4 linked regions of the Saccharomyces cerevisiae S288C genome follow. Changing the gene in region 3 together with the main gene of any one other region gives a genetic interaction. Each region holds a gene or a part of one and is shown on either strand. Other genes may lie near its edges.

Region 1 (4,694 bases), on a different chromosome or scaffold from region 3:
GATTTTGTCTGTTTACTACCACTTTTAGAGTTATCAAGGACAATTGCTATCATAAATAGAATTGTTAATCAAAATGATCTAAAACACCCCTAACGAAGGGCGGATAATTGAAAATAAAGCCAGAACATACCTTTTTGGTCCATTTCCAATCGTTTGAATATGGTCGTGGAGGTTAATGCTGTTCGTTTAAATCGTTTCAGAATGCAAAATTAACCGCATCAGTTTCTGCATTGTGTGTACATTCGCCTGACATATTTTGCTTTAATTTTCCACGACAAGAAAAAAAGATATACATATACGCGACAATAGCAAAAGTCAGAGTTTAATAAGTTGAATATACAAAATAGAATATATAAATGTTTTCAGAACAAGTATATACGCTTAAATGTCTACAAAATACTTAAAACCATATAAATGAACAATATTTTCTTTTAGTCATTGTAAAAGATTTTTTTTTTTGAGGGAGAGGGAAACAGCGGGAAAAGACAACGCTGCAAGCCTCACATGGCGATACTGCCTCTCTGTCTTCTTGCGGATTGCGGATCCACTTCTTTATTCCCTGTTTGTTTCCTTGCTAATAAGTTGATGATGTCTGTCAATGAGACCACACCGATCAACTTACCCGTTCTATATTCCTTTTCGAATAGGTTTGGTGTGTTTGTTGAGGAAGCGGGACTTGGTGGTGGGATCGCGATGGCCGAAGAACGTGGGGATGGTGGGTCTTCCATTGCTGTCATCAACGGAGAGTGGGAGTTGAGGGATGTTGAAGAGGATGACTTTGACATTGGAGTCGCACCATTAGCAGACGATTGAGCGGTGGCAGAAACTGCATTGGCTGCAGTATTAGCAGCTGTTAAATTTGTGGATGACGCCGAGGTTGACGACTCCGGCGGTTGTACGATCCATAGTCTATGAGACTTTGTAGCAACTAACTTGGCAAGAGTCCTTGCTAGTGAACTACTGGGGTATACGTGAAAAATGGGGAAAGAATCTTTACCCGTTTCTAATCCTCTGGAGTTTAAAATGACAGAAATGAAATGGCGACATGTCTTATGTAGTAAGGGGTATTGGGAGGTTCTTGTGACATGTTTTACGTCCGTTACCGATATGTTACCTAGCAAATTACCTTGTTTGTCGATGACTGCAATGGAAGAAATTCTTTCCACATGCATTTTATAAAGGCCCATGATTAAGGGCTCCTCGCCTTGAATAGAGATGACACGGGATTGTCTTGAAGTTGGCTTAGATTGAATATTGAGAACACCGATGTGCAAATCTTGTAATGAGGAGTTTAATAGAGGTTCTAAGCTTGTAAAAGATCTAGCGTTGTCCCAAAGATACTTTATCAAACGACGTTGGGACAAAATACCTTTAACTTTGGTCATCTCTTCGTTTGTTATCGCTACACGATGGACACCCGAACCGAGAATCCCCATCACCGTGGACAAACTCTCATTCTCCGGCAGCTTATAGAACGGATTCTTAGGAGTTAGTTTCACCATTTCGCCCACTGGTACGGGTTTTCCATTCTGGCAATCTGCAGTAAGCTGTTTGTTGCTGACGGTGATTTTATTCAAAACCAGCAAAAGGTACGAATTAAGGTCATTGTAGTCGAAAGTAAAACAGTTCATGTCGCCGGGGAAAGATTCCACGGGAATAGAGTTTAGATGATACTTGATCAAAGTGTTGAATGCCTCCTCTACCGATATGGAACCTGGAACAAAAATAAGCTTATTCTGTTCGATCAATTGCGACAACGGTATGTGTTGCCATTTTTGGGCGTGCACACATGACAGACACTGCGATGGCGTCTGGGTCATAGGAACAGCTGATAGTTTGAATTGAGGCTTTTCATCGCGCAAGGGGGCGGGTGTAGCAGCACAACCTGGACCAGGCGCTGCCGCTGTTGCTGTTGGCGGCGTGGACTCTTCTGGTTGTTCCTTGTCGTCTGTATCGTTCACTTGAACGTGGGGCAGCAATGGCGGAGTAGACAGCATCTCCACAATGGATGCATGTCTAGAAGTTGGAAGGTTGTTGGAAGAATTGCTTTGGCTTGGAGGGAACGTGTTCGAAGTAGAAGCCATGTTGTGTGAAGGAAGAAACGGTAATTGTTCTATAAGTGTTTATAGTTATTATAGTTGGGTTGTGTGCCTGATCTTGCCTGATAAGATAGAAGAAAAGTTGATCTGAACAGGCATTGTTGTTCGTTCTCCAACCCCTATATATGCGAAATATATACAAAATCCCAGTAGATTTTCTCTACACAATAGAAAGGACGCGCCCCTTAAAAGAGGAGGCCCTGTCGCTCAAGACGAGCAGTACTCGCTAAGCAACCGTTCTCTGGGAGGGAACTGCAAGGAACAGTTCTGTTCTTGAAACATGACCTTGAAAAGATCCAGCAGACGTTTTACGTCGATGTTGTGGCAGTGCTGAATGCCGAAGAGGTCTGTGCAGCGTCTGGCCCAATCCATGCGGTACTTGACATCCTTGTCGTCTGGTGCCAGCAGCCTAATTCCTCTTCTCAGCTCACCTAGTTTGACGACAGCGTCCTCCAGCGCCAGATCCCCCATTTGTGTGAATAAGTTACGGATCTCATCTCTTACTAGAGCGCCAAAGCGCGGAGAAAGGCCGTTGGTAGAGATCAGAATCTGTAGACGGTCTCCTATCTCCAGGTTGGCGCCGAAATAAAAGTCACAGAGATCAGGTTTGTCCGCCACATTGACCAGCTGCTGCTTACCGAATCTTTCCTTACAAAGGTGATATATTCTTGCGCTTTCAGGGTGGTCGGGTATACAGGTCATTATTATGTACCACGCGTCGTTCTCGTCTTCTAGGTCGAGGTATTCGTCTTTGAAGTCACTGCGGATGTACTCGTAAATTTCATTCTTCGTGGGGTCCCAGTTCGGATTGATAAAGCGTTTAGCGTCTTCTCTGTAGTCGGGCTGATCCTCGTTCTGGATGAATTTTCCAAACTTCGGAATAATGGATTTGTGTAGGTCAGGAGATACTAAAGTCAGCTTGCAACCTGTAGGTATCAGCTTATATAACCTTGTCAAGCCGACTTCTCCGCCTCCGATTAGTAGTATTTTCTTGTCTTTTAATTGATGGGCTAGCTGTAGCGATTTGACCATTTTTTATCCTATTATACACTCTCTTATTTTGCACACTTCATGAACAATGTATGGCAAAAATGTCTGGCACAGCCTTTTATTGAAGTAAATGTATATATATATATATGTGTGTGTGTGTGTCCATCATTTACATGCTACTGCCCGTAGTCATCGGACTTTGTAGCGATTTTCACATTTTTTTTCCGTCAGCATGGCTATTATAACACGTGAAATTATGACGCCAGCTTTTCGCATATATAGTTAATATAAAACACTTTGAAACGGAACTGTTTGAGTAAATAAATGTACTTAGATAGATAAAAATAGATAGGTAGTATAGAGGAAAAACAAATTTGATTAGAATTATGGATCGACAATTGACTAGGTTGTAACTGAAATGGCATTAATAGAAGAAACGTAAGAACGTAGAGACGCAGATAAAACTGCGGACAAGATTAAAATTTTCTTTTTTTGTCTTTTGTAATCAATGTAGAAGAGAAGGATGAATTGGCGGAACATTGTTCCTATTAGGATGCTTGTTCATGATGCTCGATTTCGAATTATTGGAATTCGGGGCTATATTTAAGGGAGGAGTCATCATCCTGGACACGTCATACATATTTGCACCGTTTCCCATTCCGTATGGTACTGGATTTACGTTCATGTTCATGTTCATGTTAGAATTCATGATCATGTTTGTGTTAGGGTTTGTGTTCATGCTTGAGGCCGTTTTATTGCTGTTGCCATTGGGCAGTTGCATAGAAATTGACATCGCGTTCCCAAATTGAGGTAAGTTATTAGTAGCATTGGAGAATTGGTTGCCCGTCGGATGGAGCGAGTATGAGGGACTTGAATATTGGTGTGGGTACAGTGCACCGTCTTCTTGCATATACGGGACATTAGATCTCTGCAGATTAACGAGGTCGCTATGGCTGCCATTCTTGTTCCTGTGATAATCGTAATTATTGTAGTTGTAATAGTTGTTGTGCGCCATTTGCTCCATAGAAAAGTTACCATCCTGTTGCTGCTGCTGCTGCTGCTGCTGCTGCTGATGTAAAAAGAGTCGCCTTTTATCTTCCGCATATTGTTCAAGAATTTGTTTGGAGTTATCGACTGAAGAAGCCGCAGATGGCGCTCTCAGGCCATTTGAGGACATATATTGGCTTGCCCCCATGATGGTCGAATTTGTTTTAGCATTTGAACTGGATGGGCGTCCCCATGATAATCTTATTGGACTGCCGCCCACAATAAAGCCTTGCAGGCCTTGTATTGAAGCTTCAGCATCAATCCTCTTCTCGAATTTAACAAACCCACAGTTTTTACCATTGGGAATCCTGACATTTAGAATGGGTCCAAAGGGTTTGAATAGTGAACGTAATTGAAATTCGGTAGTTTTTGGTACCAGTCCTCCCACAAAAACAGTAGTATTAGTGGGGTCTGTATTATAGGTGTTTGAAGGTAGTGAATCATTTACACGCATGTTTGAAATGCCGCCCTCATTCAAATGCATTGGAGGCGCGTTATGCAAGGCATTGAGAGGAAGCATGTTGCTATTGTTTTGAATGAGATTATTTGCAGTCTTAA
Region 2 (4,324 bases), 410 kb from region 3:
AGAGTAGAAAGAATATATTTACTTAGATAACTTAATGTATAATATATAAAAAAAATCAAAAAAACAGGAAAAAAAAAAATCATGAGTGAGTGGCACTTTTAACTGCAAGAATGAAGAGTGACCCCATTTTTTTTTATTCTGATATTACAGTACTCTTCTGTGCGGGCAGCTCCTTCGTTTTTTGTTTTGCACTTTCATCCAACCACACATATATGGAAACAAAAACGACGAATGAAATTATAGCTTTGCTGAATGGATCTATGCTCTTCCAAGTAAACCTTTTATCATCAAGATGAAACACCTTGACCACGTTTTGCACATCAGCAGGTAGTATATTTGCGTTTTTGTTATTTTGTAGGAGAAACCAATTATATTCGATGAATGGAAGTTTCAAGAATTGGGACCTAACTGACGGAGAAGAGTTTGTCAGGACAAATTGAGTTCGAGGTCCAAGAAAGCCAAATGACTTGTAGTACCACAACTGAATGAAATCTTGCTTTAGATCATTCCAGTTTCCTCGCATTTTCTCATTTATGGCAAAATCCAATAAATCTAAGTCATTACCACTTAACTTAGGAAAATTCTGAAGTAATATATTCGTATCTATCAACTGATTGTTATGTGTCGAAGACGGATTGAAGAATTTGTTCATAATGACACCAAGCTCGCCGTTGTTTAGACGCTCAGTTAATAAATGATCGCGTTTCAAACCACTTGTTTCGTCTTCATCTAGATCTGGTGCACTTGGCTGCAAGACGCTAAATATCTCGGACATGGTCTGTGAGAAGGAAATGGGGTTTTCTGTAGATGTAGTACTGCCATTTTGAGCTAACCGTATTTTCTGCTTCAAAAGCAGTGAAGCCGGTGGAATTCTTTCTAATTTTGGTTGATAAAATCTCTTTACCAAAAGATTTCCTGCGACTGCTTTAATCATGGGACCGATTCTGAAGGCTCTATGCGATTTTAATCTGAAGATTTTAACATTTGACAGTACCATCTCAATCGGACCTTTTAACTGATTTTAGCGAGAACATGTGTATATATTTCCTCTAAGAAAAGAAAGGGCCTAAAAACCTCGCCCCAGTGCATAATAAAAGTAAAAAAAAAAAAATCAAACTTTATTGGGATAAAATAAAAATCAGAAAAACCCTTATATATGTATATGTAGTTAAATGAAGCCAGTTTTTTTCGTCTGGTTTGTTTCAGCCTATATGCCCTCTTTGCTTTCTTGCCATCTGCGGATCAATTTCCTTATGATGCGTTTGTTTTCTTGCCAAAACACTTAATATGTCAGTCAATGACACAACACCTATCAATTTACCTGTTCTATACTCCTTTTCGAAATGTGCTGGAGTTGGAGATGCGGGACAATTACTTGGACTTTGAGGTGGTGGCATTGTGGCCGATGGAGACTGTGGTTGAGAAGGTGAGGGACCACTCAAATTTATATTTACATTTATTTTATTGTTTGATGTATCTGAAGATTTTAGAACAGGAGAGTTGGCCATCCTGGAAGATTGCGTGTTCGAATGGTATGACGACGCAAGCGATGGCAATGTCGTTACGGGTGGAGTACTTGGTGATGGAGATGAGGATTTTTCGGAAGATGCTGTTGGTTGATTGTCATTTGGTTGTACTATCCATAATCTGTGAGATTTGGTAGCGACCAATTTGGCAAACGTTCTTGCCAGGGAACTTGTTGGATACACATGGAAAATAGGAAATGAGTCCTTACCGGTCTCTAGGCCCCTTAAATTCAAAATAACCGAGACAAAATGACGACATGTATTGTGTAATAAAGGATATTGTGAAGTTCTGGTGACGTGTTTGACGTCTGTTACTGAAATATTACCAATCAAGTTTCCCTGCGGGTCAACTACCGCAATGGAAGAGATTCTTTCGACATACATTTTATGCAGAGCCATAATTAGATGCTCGTCACCTTGGATGGATATGACACGTGACTGCTTGAATGTAGGTTTATCACGGGCTGCATTTAGTACACCAATATTCAGCTCCTCCAGGGAAGAGTCCAAGAGAGGCTTCAAGTTGGGAAATGATCTCGCATTCTCCCACAGATACTTAATCAATCGACGTTGGGAAAGTATACCTTTAATCTGTGTCATTTCCACGTTCGTGATGGCAACACGATGCACACCTGAGCCTAGTATGCCTATTACCGTCGATAAGTTTTCCGTTTCGGGCAATTTGTAGAATGGATTCTTAGGTGTCAACTTTACTATCTCGCCCACGGGCACGGACTTACCATTCTGGCAGTCTGAGGTTATCTTGTCGTTGCTCACCTTGATCCTGTTTAATACAAGAAGAAGGTACGCATTGAGATCATTATAGTCGAATGTTAAACAATTCATGTCTCCCGGAAAATTCTCCACAGGCAAAGACGTTAGCTGGTGCTTGACCAGCGTGTTGAATGCTTCCTCTACGGAAATAGAACCTCTGATGAAAATCAATTTGTTCTGTTCCACCAAATTTGACAGAGGAGTGTGTTGCCACTCCTGCCTATGAACAGATAACAGATTCTGTGAATTCAAGGTGGACAAGGAGTTGCCATTATTGTTTGAGTATTCCGTGTTATCCAGCGTGGAGAGAGAAGATGAAGATGACGATTTCGAAATAGATTTATGTAGTGATTCTGTGTCGCTTTTGTTTGCTTCAGTGTTCTTGTCTGTCTGTTCGCTCAAACTATTTAAATCTGTGGAATTCGGTAATTGAGGTGGGGTAGAAAGCATTTCTACGATGGACGTGTGTCTTGTATTTTGAGGCATTGGGTGGGTCTTGCTGAAAAGATGATGTTCTGAGGTATTCGTATCGCTAGCTTGATACGCTTTTAACAAAAGTAAGCTTTTCGTTTGCAGGTTTGGTTACTTTTCTGTACGAGATGATATCGCTAAGTTTATAGTCATCTGTGAAATTTCTCAAAAACCTCATGGTTTCTCCATCACCCATTTTTCATTTCATTTGCCGGGCGGAAAAAAAAAAGGAAAAAAAAAAAAAAAAAAAATAAATGACACATGGAAATAAGTCAAGGATTAGCGGATATGTAGTTCCAGTCCGGGTTATACCATCACGTGATAATAAATCCAAATGAGAATGAGGGTGTCATATCTAATCATTATGCACGTCAAGATTCTCCGTGACTATGGCTCTTTTCTGAAGCATTTTTCGGGCGCCCGGTGGCCAAAAACTAACTCCGAGCCCGGGCATGTCCCGGGGTTAGCGGGCCCAACAAAGGCGCTTATCTGGTGGGCTTCCGTAGAAGAAAAAAAGCTGTTGAGCGAGCTATTTCGGGTATCCCAGCCTTCTCTGCAGACCGCCCCAGTTGGCTTGGCTCTGGTGCTGTTCGTTAGCATCACATCGCCTGTGACAGGCAGAGGTAATAACGGCTTAAGGTTCTCTTCGCATAGTCGGCAGCTTTCTTTCGGACGTTGAACACTCAACAAACCTTATCTAGTGCCCAACCAGGTGTGCTTCTACGAGTCTTGCTCACTCAGACACACCTATCCCTATTGTTACGGCTATGGGGATGGCACACAAAGGTGGAAATAATAGTAGTTAACAATATATGCAGCAAATCATCGGCTCCTGGCTCATCGAGTCTTGCAAATCAGCATATACATATATATATGGGGGCAGATCTTGATTCATTTATTGTTCTATTTCCATCTTTCCTACTTCTGTTTCCGTTTATATTTTGTATTACGTAGAATAGAACATCATAGTAATAGATAGTTGTGGTGATCATATTATAAACAGCACTAAAACATTACAACAAAGATGCCAACTTCTGGAACTACTATTGAATTGATTGACGACCAATTTCCAAAGGATGACTCTGCCAGCAGTGGCATTGTCGACGAAGTCGACTTAACGGAAGCTAATATTTTGGCTACTGGTTTGAATAAGAAAGCACCAAGAATTGTCAACGGTTTTGGTTCTTTAATGGGCTCCAAGGAAATGGTTTCCGTGGAATTCGACAAGAAGGGAAACGAAAAGAAGTCCAATTTGGATCGTCTGCTAGAAAAGGACAACCAAGAAAAAGAAGAAGCTAAAACTAAAATTCACATCTCCGAACAACCATGGACTTTGAATAACTGGCACCAACATTTGAACTGGTTGAACATGGTTCTTGTTTGTGGTATGCCAATGATTGGTTGGTACTTTGCTCTCTCTGGTAAAGTGCCTTTGCATTTAAACGTTTTCCTTTTCTCCGTTTTCTACTACGCTGTCGGTGGTGTTTCTATTACTGCCGGTTACCATAGATTATGGTCTCACAGATCTTACTCCGCTCACTGGCCATTGAGAT
Region 3 (3,914 bases):
AATTGGAAGCTGAAACGGCTAACGGATCTTGATTTGATGGGACTTCCTTAGAAGTAACCGAAGCATAGGCGCTACCATGTAGAGAATGTGGATTTTGATGTAATTGTTGGGATTCCATTTTTGATAAGGCAATAATATTAGGTATGTAGATATACTAGAAGTTCTCCTCGAGGATTTAGGAATCCATAAAAGGGAATCTGCAATTCTACACAATTCTATAAATATTATTATCATCATTTTATATGTTAATATTCATTGATCCTATTACATTATCAATCCTTGCGTTTCAGCTTCCACTAATTTAGATGACTATTTCTCATCATTTGCGTCATCTTCTAACACCGTATATGATAATATACTAGTAACGTAAATACTAGTTAGTAGATGATAGTTGATTTTTATTCCAACAATATATATAAATTGCTGTAATCTAGAAAACTACAATGTGAATGCTAGTTACGTGGAAACAGAAGAATTAGTTTGAGTTTATATCTGGATTTCCTTTGATATATGGATAAGTAAGCTCGCTACGTGACATAAATATTTGAATAAGAATCAGAATTAGTGGGGCGATAAAGCAATTTCCGATCACCTCTCATGCGAATATACACTTTGCACACGTACTACCGCAAGCATTGTTATTTTTAAGGCACCTTTGACATGGCCAACGAGCGTTCATCTTTTATACCCCTTTCATAACTATATGAAGGTGTACGATTATTTTGAATGACTACTACAATTTAGCCGCTAATTATCAACATGAATCAAGCGGCTTATAATGCACTAAAATAATGTATCGTTGTACGATAGGTACATTATCGTTTCTACCATTGCAGAAATACGCGGCTCATATTTTACAAATCTTGGATTTTCGTGGTGAGGGGACCTGAGGGTTGTAGAAAATGTGACGTAGCGGAGATTCAAAAGAACGAAAACAAAATAGTAGATACCCCGCTCTGTGAGTTTCTTCAAGGGTTCGACAAATGAATTTAGATACCGTTCAAATTTTTGATTTTCTTGGCGTTCTAAGAATGTCCTATCACAGCCTTGCCACTATCTGACTGACGGAGAAGAACATTGAGATATGATGTTACATTTTTTTATATTCATGAATATTAGTGCGTATTTACAGTGAAAAGCAATCGTCCAGAAATGCATAAACGAAGAATCGATATATAAAACACATTGTATTATAAACTAAGTAACACGTCATCTTCTGCACCTCCCATTGCGACTTCTTTGAGTTCAATCTGTAAGCTAATCGTATGCCGTTTTTCAAACGTGTTTGAGTAGAAAAGTAGCCACCATATGTGCACGGTGAGCACAAAACGTATAGCTCGCATCAGGCGTTCACCAGCCTTGAATTCGGCTCTGTCTCAAGGAAGGATTAGTACTCGGACACGCCGTCGCCGTCTCTTGCAATAAGTCCATGTTCTTGCTCTGGAATAAGGTGAACTCTTTAAGTATTTTCTCTTCTAGGCTCAGTTCTCCGAGTTGTAGGGCAAAATCAACCATGCCACTACTGCCATGATCGCTGCTTGTGCCAGTAGCATCACCTATGAAGCCCTGATCGGCTTGAATATTTGCGAAATGTGCATTCGAAGAAAGATGGTTGAAGTATCCAGACATAATGCTGTATAATGTTGACTATAATCGGTTGTTTTAGCTCTGTGGTATACTACAGATGTGCTAAAATATGCCGAAATCACCACAATATACAATAAATACGATATCATCATGGACGCATGCACGACATATTACAAGGCGGGGGAAAGAAGAAACGGAGCGCCAGAGCCACAACGAGGAAGCGGGTTTGTGGCTCTCACATCACAGCCCGCCCCTACCAAGATCGTAAGCAACGTGTTCAACACGTACCAAAAAACCATAATGGCAAGCCAGCGTTTACCTCACCCGCGGATGACACATCCTGCTCTTACATATGATCGCGGGCTGTCCACAAAAAACAACCTGGAAATACCAAATTTGGCAGCTACCGCGGAGTAGTGGTCATGACGGAGAGAGTTGCCAAAAAGTGACTGACTCGACTCCCCTCACAGCCCGGATCAATTTTTCCATGCGTTTCCACGGAAATCCGAGGTTTGCCGTTAGAGTCCCAAATTGGCGATGGATGATGAGATAATGCGCCCTTATCAATCACGCTAAAAATTGCCCCACGCTGTACTCAACGATCATAGCTGGCTATTGTTATCGTTGGCTTAGATGGTTTCGCCCGTACAAAAATAGACTTGCATATATATAAAGCTTATCTTCGGCCTCAGTCGTCTAAAAAACTATCTTGCCTAACATTATCTTGTCTTCTTTTCGTTCCCTTGAATCATATATAAGAAAAGATAATCAATCATTCGGCTATTTTCTTACAGATACATACATACGTATAATTCATCAATCATAGCATTAATAGAAGATAAAGTATAATGATCGCTACCTCCAGAGCCGTAAACATGAATAAAGAATCAAAACACAAGAAGGCTGTTGCCAAACCATGCAGAGAGAGACAAACTTCAGTTACAAGAGCCATGAGACCAGCTGTAGCACGTGATCCTCGCAGACTTTCGACGTCGTCGTCTCCTTCTTCGTCACCAATGTCAGCACAGAGAAGGCTTTCGAGGGAAGAAATAATAAACGAAATGGAAAAGGAGCAAGACGCTATTGTAGTAAGACTTCTACGGGAAATTGAAACTTTAAAAGAAGAAAACTCTAGGTTAAAAAATCAACTGCACCATCCGGTCCCGGCTAGAAGGTCGTCTCCATTTTTCGAAGGCGAGTCTGCCATCCTAGATGATGATGACTGCAATTATGGTTACACCCTCGACACTCCAAAGCTAAAGCTCACAGATGGTGCATCCAGACACACCGTACTTCCCTTAACACCCAAGGACTCCATGACCCACATTTCCCATTCCGCCAGAAGGTCAAGCCGGAACGCTTCCATATCTAACGGAACAAGCATCTCAGACACGATTTTCCCCATTGAGACTAAAATCCACTCAGCACCAACAACAAACAGAAACCTTCCCTCCGCCGATCTTCCACATCACACTCTTCTTCCACGTTCTCTAAGCGGCATTTCGTCTAGCGATTTAACCGAATCCGGTGCTCTTCTTCATGACAGGAGAAGGCGTTCTTCCAATTACAGTCTCGATGGCTCAAACTCTTTAAAGGCTGATCTCATGGCAAAGAGATTCCAAACTGGTTCATTGAAATAGGCTGTAAGCGAGATACATAAGAAAACAGAGTTTCTCTAAATATATTCTTCCTATTGATCTTTGGCAATCCAACACATATGCAGTTCGTGCACTTGCGTTATAAGCGTGACTTCTCGCTTGGTTTTTTTTTATAATTTTTTTTTAAAACCTCATTCTAAGTACAACTTTGGCGTTTTTCCAAGCTACTACTTATAATTATATGGTTTATTTCATAAATATATATATATATATATATATATATAGAAAATCAATATACATTTAAGCCTTACTGGAGATGACACTATTTTTGTTCACATTTTTTCTTATGCTCTAAATACCTCGGCCTCATACGCAGAGACAGTGTTGATATGTTTTTATACAAAGTAAAGGCAAAGAGAAGGCACAGACAGGATTTCACAGGCAGCTAAGTAATAACGAATATGCTTGCTTCACATATTTTGCCGCCAAATTACACGCTATGGAGCTACGTTCTACTAGTGGTTACTTACCGCTAGCTATTTAAACCCCATCACGTTGATTGTCTATTTCGCTATAGGTTATTTTGCCAAGAAAACTTACTGGGCAATACTTACATCCATTCAGATTTTTGGATAAAGCAATTGAAGAAAGACGACAGCAATTCGACTGGTGGTTGTTAATTACCCTTTGATCCTCTGATTTAAAGACGTAATCCTTCCTGGGGGTAAG
Region 4 (3,523 bases), on a different chromosome or scaffold from region 3:
TGAATCTTTATTGGCTGTTCCTTATTTTTAGAGTTCTTTACAGGATTCTATGGAGAGGTATTCTCAAGGATGACAGAAGTGATAGTGAATCAGACGAAGAAAGTGATGAAAGTTCCACTACTCCAACTGACAGTACTCCAACGAAAAAGGATATTTGAAGGAAAACGGTGTTTTTAAGTAGTATAACCATTACACATTAATTCTTTACACATTAATTCTTTTACGGTCCTGCTCTCACGTTCTTCCTTATTGGTTTATGTAAACAGGTATTTTTATAGTATTCTTTTCCAGACATACAGTGTTATCTTTTTTTCTTGCTTTCGTGCCGCTAAAGAGCTGTGAAGATCAAAAGTGATTTACGCTTAGTTAGCATGAATATAAATTCTCAGTTGAAAAGAAGCTATGTTACATTTATGAGCGTTGCTTTAGTATATCTATACAAAAAAAAGAAATTTTTATACAATGGTCTATTAAAAAAGGCTTCCAAATAATAGTTCAGCTTATTCCATGTTGATGTTAGTGCTTTCAACAGTGGAGCTATCGTTGTCATAGTAGGCCGACACCTTGACTTTGAATTCAGAAGCAGCGATACCGAATTGTTTCAGTATTAAAGCTTGACGAACATCTAATTTTTCTCCTTCAGTGCAAACTAAATATGGACTGTCAATGGTGATCTTACCAGCTTTGATTTTAGTTGGAATTTCAAATTTGTTTCTCATAGTTGGCTCTAAAGAATGAATCATTGGAACATCTTCCTCAGCTGGAATTTGACCACCACGTGAGTAGACAATGCCCTCAGGAATTGTAAATGTTAGTGGTGCTTTCGTGTTCGGTCTTGAATAGTCTGAACGAACGTATGACTTAAAGTATTCCTTGACAGTGTTGACATCCTCATCAGTGAACAATAAACCAGTGACACCGCTACAAAGCTTACTCAATTGATACAGATTTTCTTTGTATTCTTCTTCCCTCTTTTCTCCCAATGCTTTTTGTAAAACTTTCCTCTTACCCATAATTAACTTAGAGCCTGCCCAAGATGTTCTGATTTCTTGTAAAACTGGAGTTCTTACGTCGTCAAGATGTAGGACCCAGACGTATCTATAAGTATCTAAGGCTTCCCTCACTTCATCGAAAATTCTTTCTTTATTTTCTCTGCCCTTTTTATCGGTTTGTGCTAAAGTGACTAGCTTGGAACGTTTTGATCTTGGCATGATTCAACTATAATAAATCTTTTATGGACGATAGACAGTGATGTACGTATAGCAAAAGGAATCAGCTCTGCTTAGCCAAAGTACTACAAATATTTGCAACTTTTCAAAAGCTCATCGCATTTTTCTGGAAAAAAATTTTTTCTTTCACCTTCGCCGGGTAAAGTCCTAATGGTTGGGTTTTCTGAACTGAAATCAAATTGTGGGATCATAGCCAACAGTAGTTGGAAAGGGGAATAGCTTTGATCATACCCAGGGAAAGACCACTTTCTGGGATCGATACTTTCCTTTCTGTGTGCTTTATTAACAACAATATATCTCAGGTGTGAAAATTTTGGATAAACATTTAAAATAGAAGAGTAGCCAAGCATGTCTGAAAATAATTCGCACAACCTTGATGAACATGAGTCCCATAGCGAAAACAGTGATTATATGATGGATACGCAGGTAGAAGATGACTATGATGAGGATGGCCATGTACAGGGTGAGTACTCTTATTATCCTGATGAAGATGAAGATGAACATATGCTTTCTAGCGTCGGAAGTTTTGAGGCAGATGATGGTGAAGATGACGATAACGATTACCATCATGAAGATGATTCTGGACTTTTATATGGATATCATAGAACTCAGAATGGCAGTGACGAAGACAGAAATGAAGAAGAAGATGGACTTGAACGTTCTCACGATAATAATGAATTTGGCAGCAACCCCCTACATTTACCTGACATTTTGGAAACATTCGCACAAAGACTAGAACAAAGAAGACAAACAAGTGAAGGACTTGGGCAACACCCGGTTGGAAGAACACTACCCGAGATTTTATCGATGATTGGAGGAAGGATGGAGAGGAGCGCAGAGAGTTCGGCAAGGAATGAGCGGATTTCTAAATTGATAGAGAATACTGGGAATGCCTCCGAGGATCCTTATATTGCAATGGAGAGTTTAAAAGAACTTTCTGAAAACATATTAATGATGAATCAAATGGTTGTCGATAGAATTATACCGATGGAAACCTTAATAGGTAATATAGCTGCCATACTCTCTGATAAAATTTTACGGGAAGAATTAGAATTACAAATGCAAGCTTGTAGATGCATGTATAATCTTTTTGAGGTCTGCCCTGAATCTATTTCAATAGCTGTTGATGAACACGTTATACCAATTTTACAAGGAAAATTGGTAGAGATCAGTTACATTGACCTCGCAGAACAAGTTTTAGAAACGGTGGAATATATTTCTAGAGTACATGGGAGAGACATTTTAAAAACGGGCCAATTATCAATCTACGTCCAATTCTTCGATTTTTTAACTATACATGCGCAGAGGAAGGCTATCGCAATTGTTTCGAACGCCTGTAGCAGTATCCGAACGGATGACTTTAAGACCATTGTTGAAGTACTTCCAACGCTGAAGCCAATTTTCTCGAATGCGACAGACCAACCAATATTAACCAGGCTTGTAAATGCCATGTACGGTATTTGCGGGGCGTTGCATGGGGTTGACAAATTTGAGACTTTGTTTTCGTTGGATTTAATCGAAAGAATAGTTCAGCTAGTTTCTATTCAGGATACCCCCTTGGAGAATAAACTGAAATGTTTGGATATTTTAACCGTATTAGCGATGAGTAGTGATGTACTTTCAAGAGAACTGAGAGAGAAAACTGACATTGTCGACATGGCAACACGATCATTCCAGCATTATAGTAAAAGTCCTAACGCAGGGTTACATGAAACACTGATTTATGTCCCAAACAGTTTATTGATTAGCATTTCTAGATTTATAGTTGTATTGTTTCCTCCCGAGGATGAAAGAATACTGTCAGCGGATAAATATACCGGAAATAGCGACCGTGGCGTAATTTCTAACCAGGAAAAGTTTGATTCCCTAGTTCAATGTCTAATTCCAATTCTCGTTGAAATTTATACAAATGCTGCTGACTTTGACGTAAGAAGATACGTACTTATTGCTTTACTGAGGGTTGTATCATGCATAAATAATTCCACAGCAAAGGCAATCAATGATCAACTTATTAAGTTAATCGGATCTATCCTGGCCCAAAAAGAAACAGCGTCTAACGCTAATGGTACTTACTCATCAGAAGCTGGTACACTGTTGGTTGGTGGTCTCTCGTTGCTTGACTTAATTTGTAAAAAGTTTTCCGAACTGTTCTTTCCTTCCATCAAAAGAGAGGGCATTTTTGATTTGGTTAAGGATTTGTCTGTGGATTTCAATAACATTGATTTAAAGGAAGACGGGAATGAAAATATTTCACTTTCTGACGAAGAAGGGGATTTGCATAGCAGTATTGAGGA

Evidence for each region.
Region 1: mutations in RTS3 (region 3) and SDS24 impair growth when combined (synthetic growth defect), as found in Saccharomyces cerevisiae (one study listed by BioGRID).
Region 2: mutations in RTS3 (region 3) and SDS23 impair growth when combined (synthetic growth defect), as found in Saccharomyces cerevisiae (one study listed by BioGRID).
Region 4: mutations in RTS3 (region 3) and MRT4 together harm fitness more than expected from each alone (negative genetic interaction), as found in Saccharomyces cerevisiae (2 studies listed by BioGRID).

What each region holds. Positions count from the first base shown.
Region 1 is NC_001134.8:648,805-653,498, reverse strand, and holds SDS24 (Sds24p), read right to left. Parts: upstream 2,085-4,694; coding exon 501-2,084; downstream 1-500. Other genes in the region: HPC2 (Hpc2p), read right to left, coding at 1-46, 131-143; bifunctional precorrin-2 dehydrogenase/sirohydrochlorin ferrochelatase MET8, read right to left, coding at 2,307-3,131; NGR1 (Ngr1p), read right to left, coding at 3,595-4,694. UniProt on the Saccharomyces cerevisiae protein: Involved in DNA replication and cell separation during budding.
Region 2 is NC_001139.9:394,833-399,156, forward strand, and holds SDS23 (Sds23p), read right to left. Parts: upstream 2,787-4,324; coding exon 1,203-2,786; downstream 1-1,202. Other genes in the region: GEP7 (Gep7p), read right to left, coding at 134-997; OLE1 (stearoyl-CoA 9-desaturase), read left to right, coding at 3,796-4,324. UniProt on the Saccharomyces cerevisiae protein: Involved in DNA replication and cell separation during budding.
Region 3 is NC_001139.9:807,942-811,855, reverse strand, and holds RTS3 (Rts3p), read left to right. Parts: upstream 1-2,435; coding exon 2,436-3,227; downstream 3,228-3,914. Other genes in the region: YGR161W-A (gag protein), read right to left, coding at 1-118; YGR161W-C (uncharacterized protein), read right to left, coding at 1,351-1,629. UniProt on the Saccharomyces cerevisiae protein: May be a component of a protein phosphatase type 2A (PP2A) complex. Negatively regulates SIT4 phosphatase, a modulators of caffeine sensitivity.
Region 4 is NC_001143.9:423,930-427,452, reverse strand, and holds MRT4 (ribosome assembly factor MRT4), read right to left. Parts: upstream 1,212-3,523; coding exon 501-1,211; downstream 1-500. Other genes in the region: sphingosine N-acyltransferase LAC1, read left to right, coding at 1-158; putative ubiquitin-protein ligase UFD4, read left to right, coding at 1,578-3,523. UniProt on the Saccharomyces cerevisiae protein: Component of the ribosome assembly machinery. Nuclear paralog of the ribosomal protein P0, it binds pre-60S subunits at an early stage of assembly in the nucleolus, and is replaced by P0 in cytoplasmic pre-60S subunits and mature 80S ribosomes.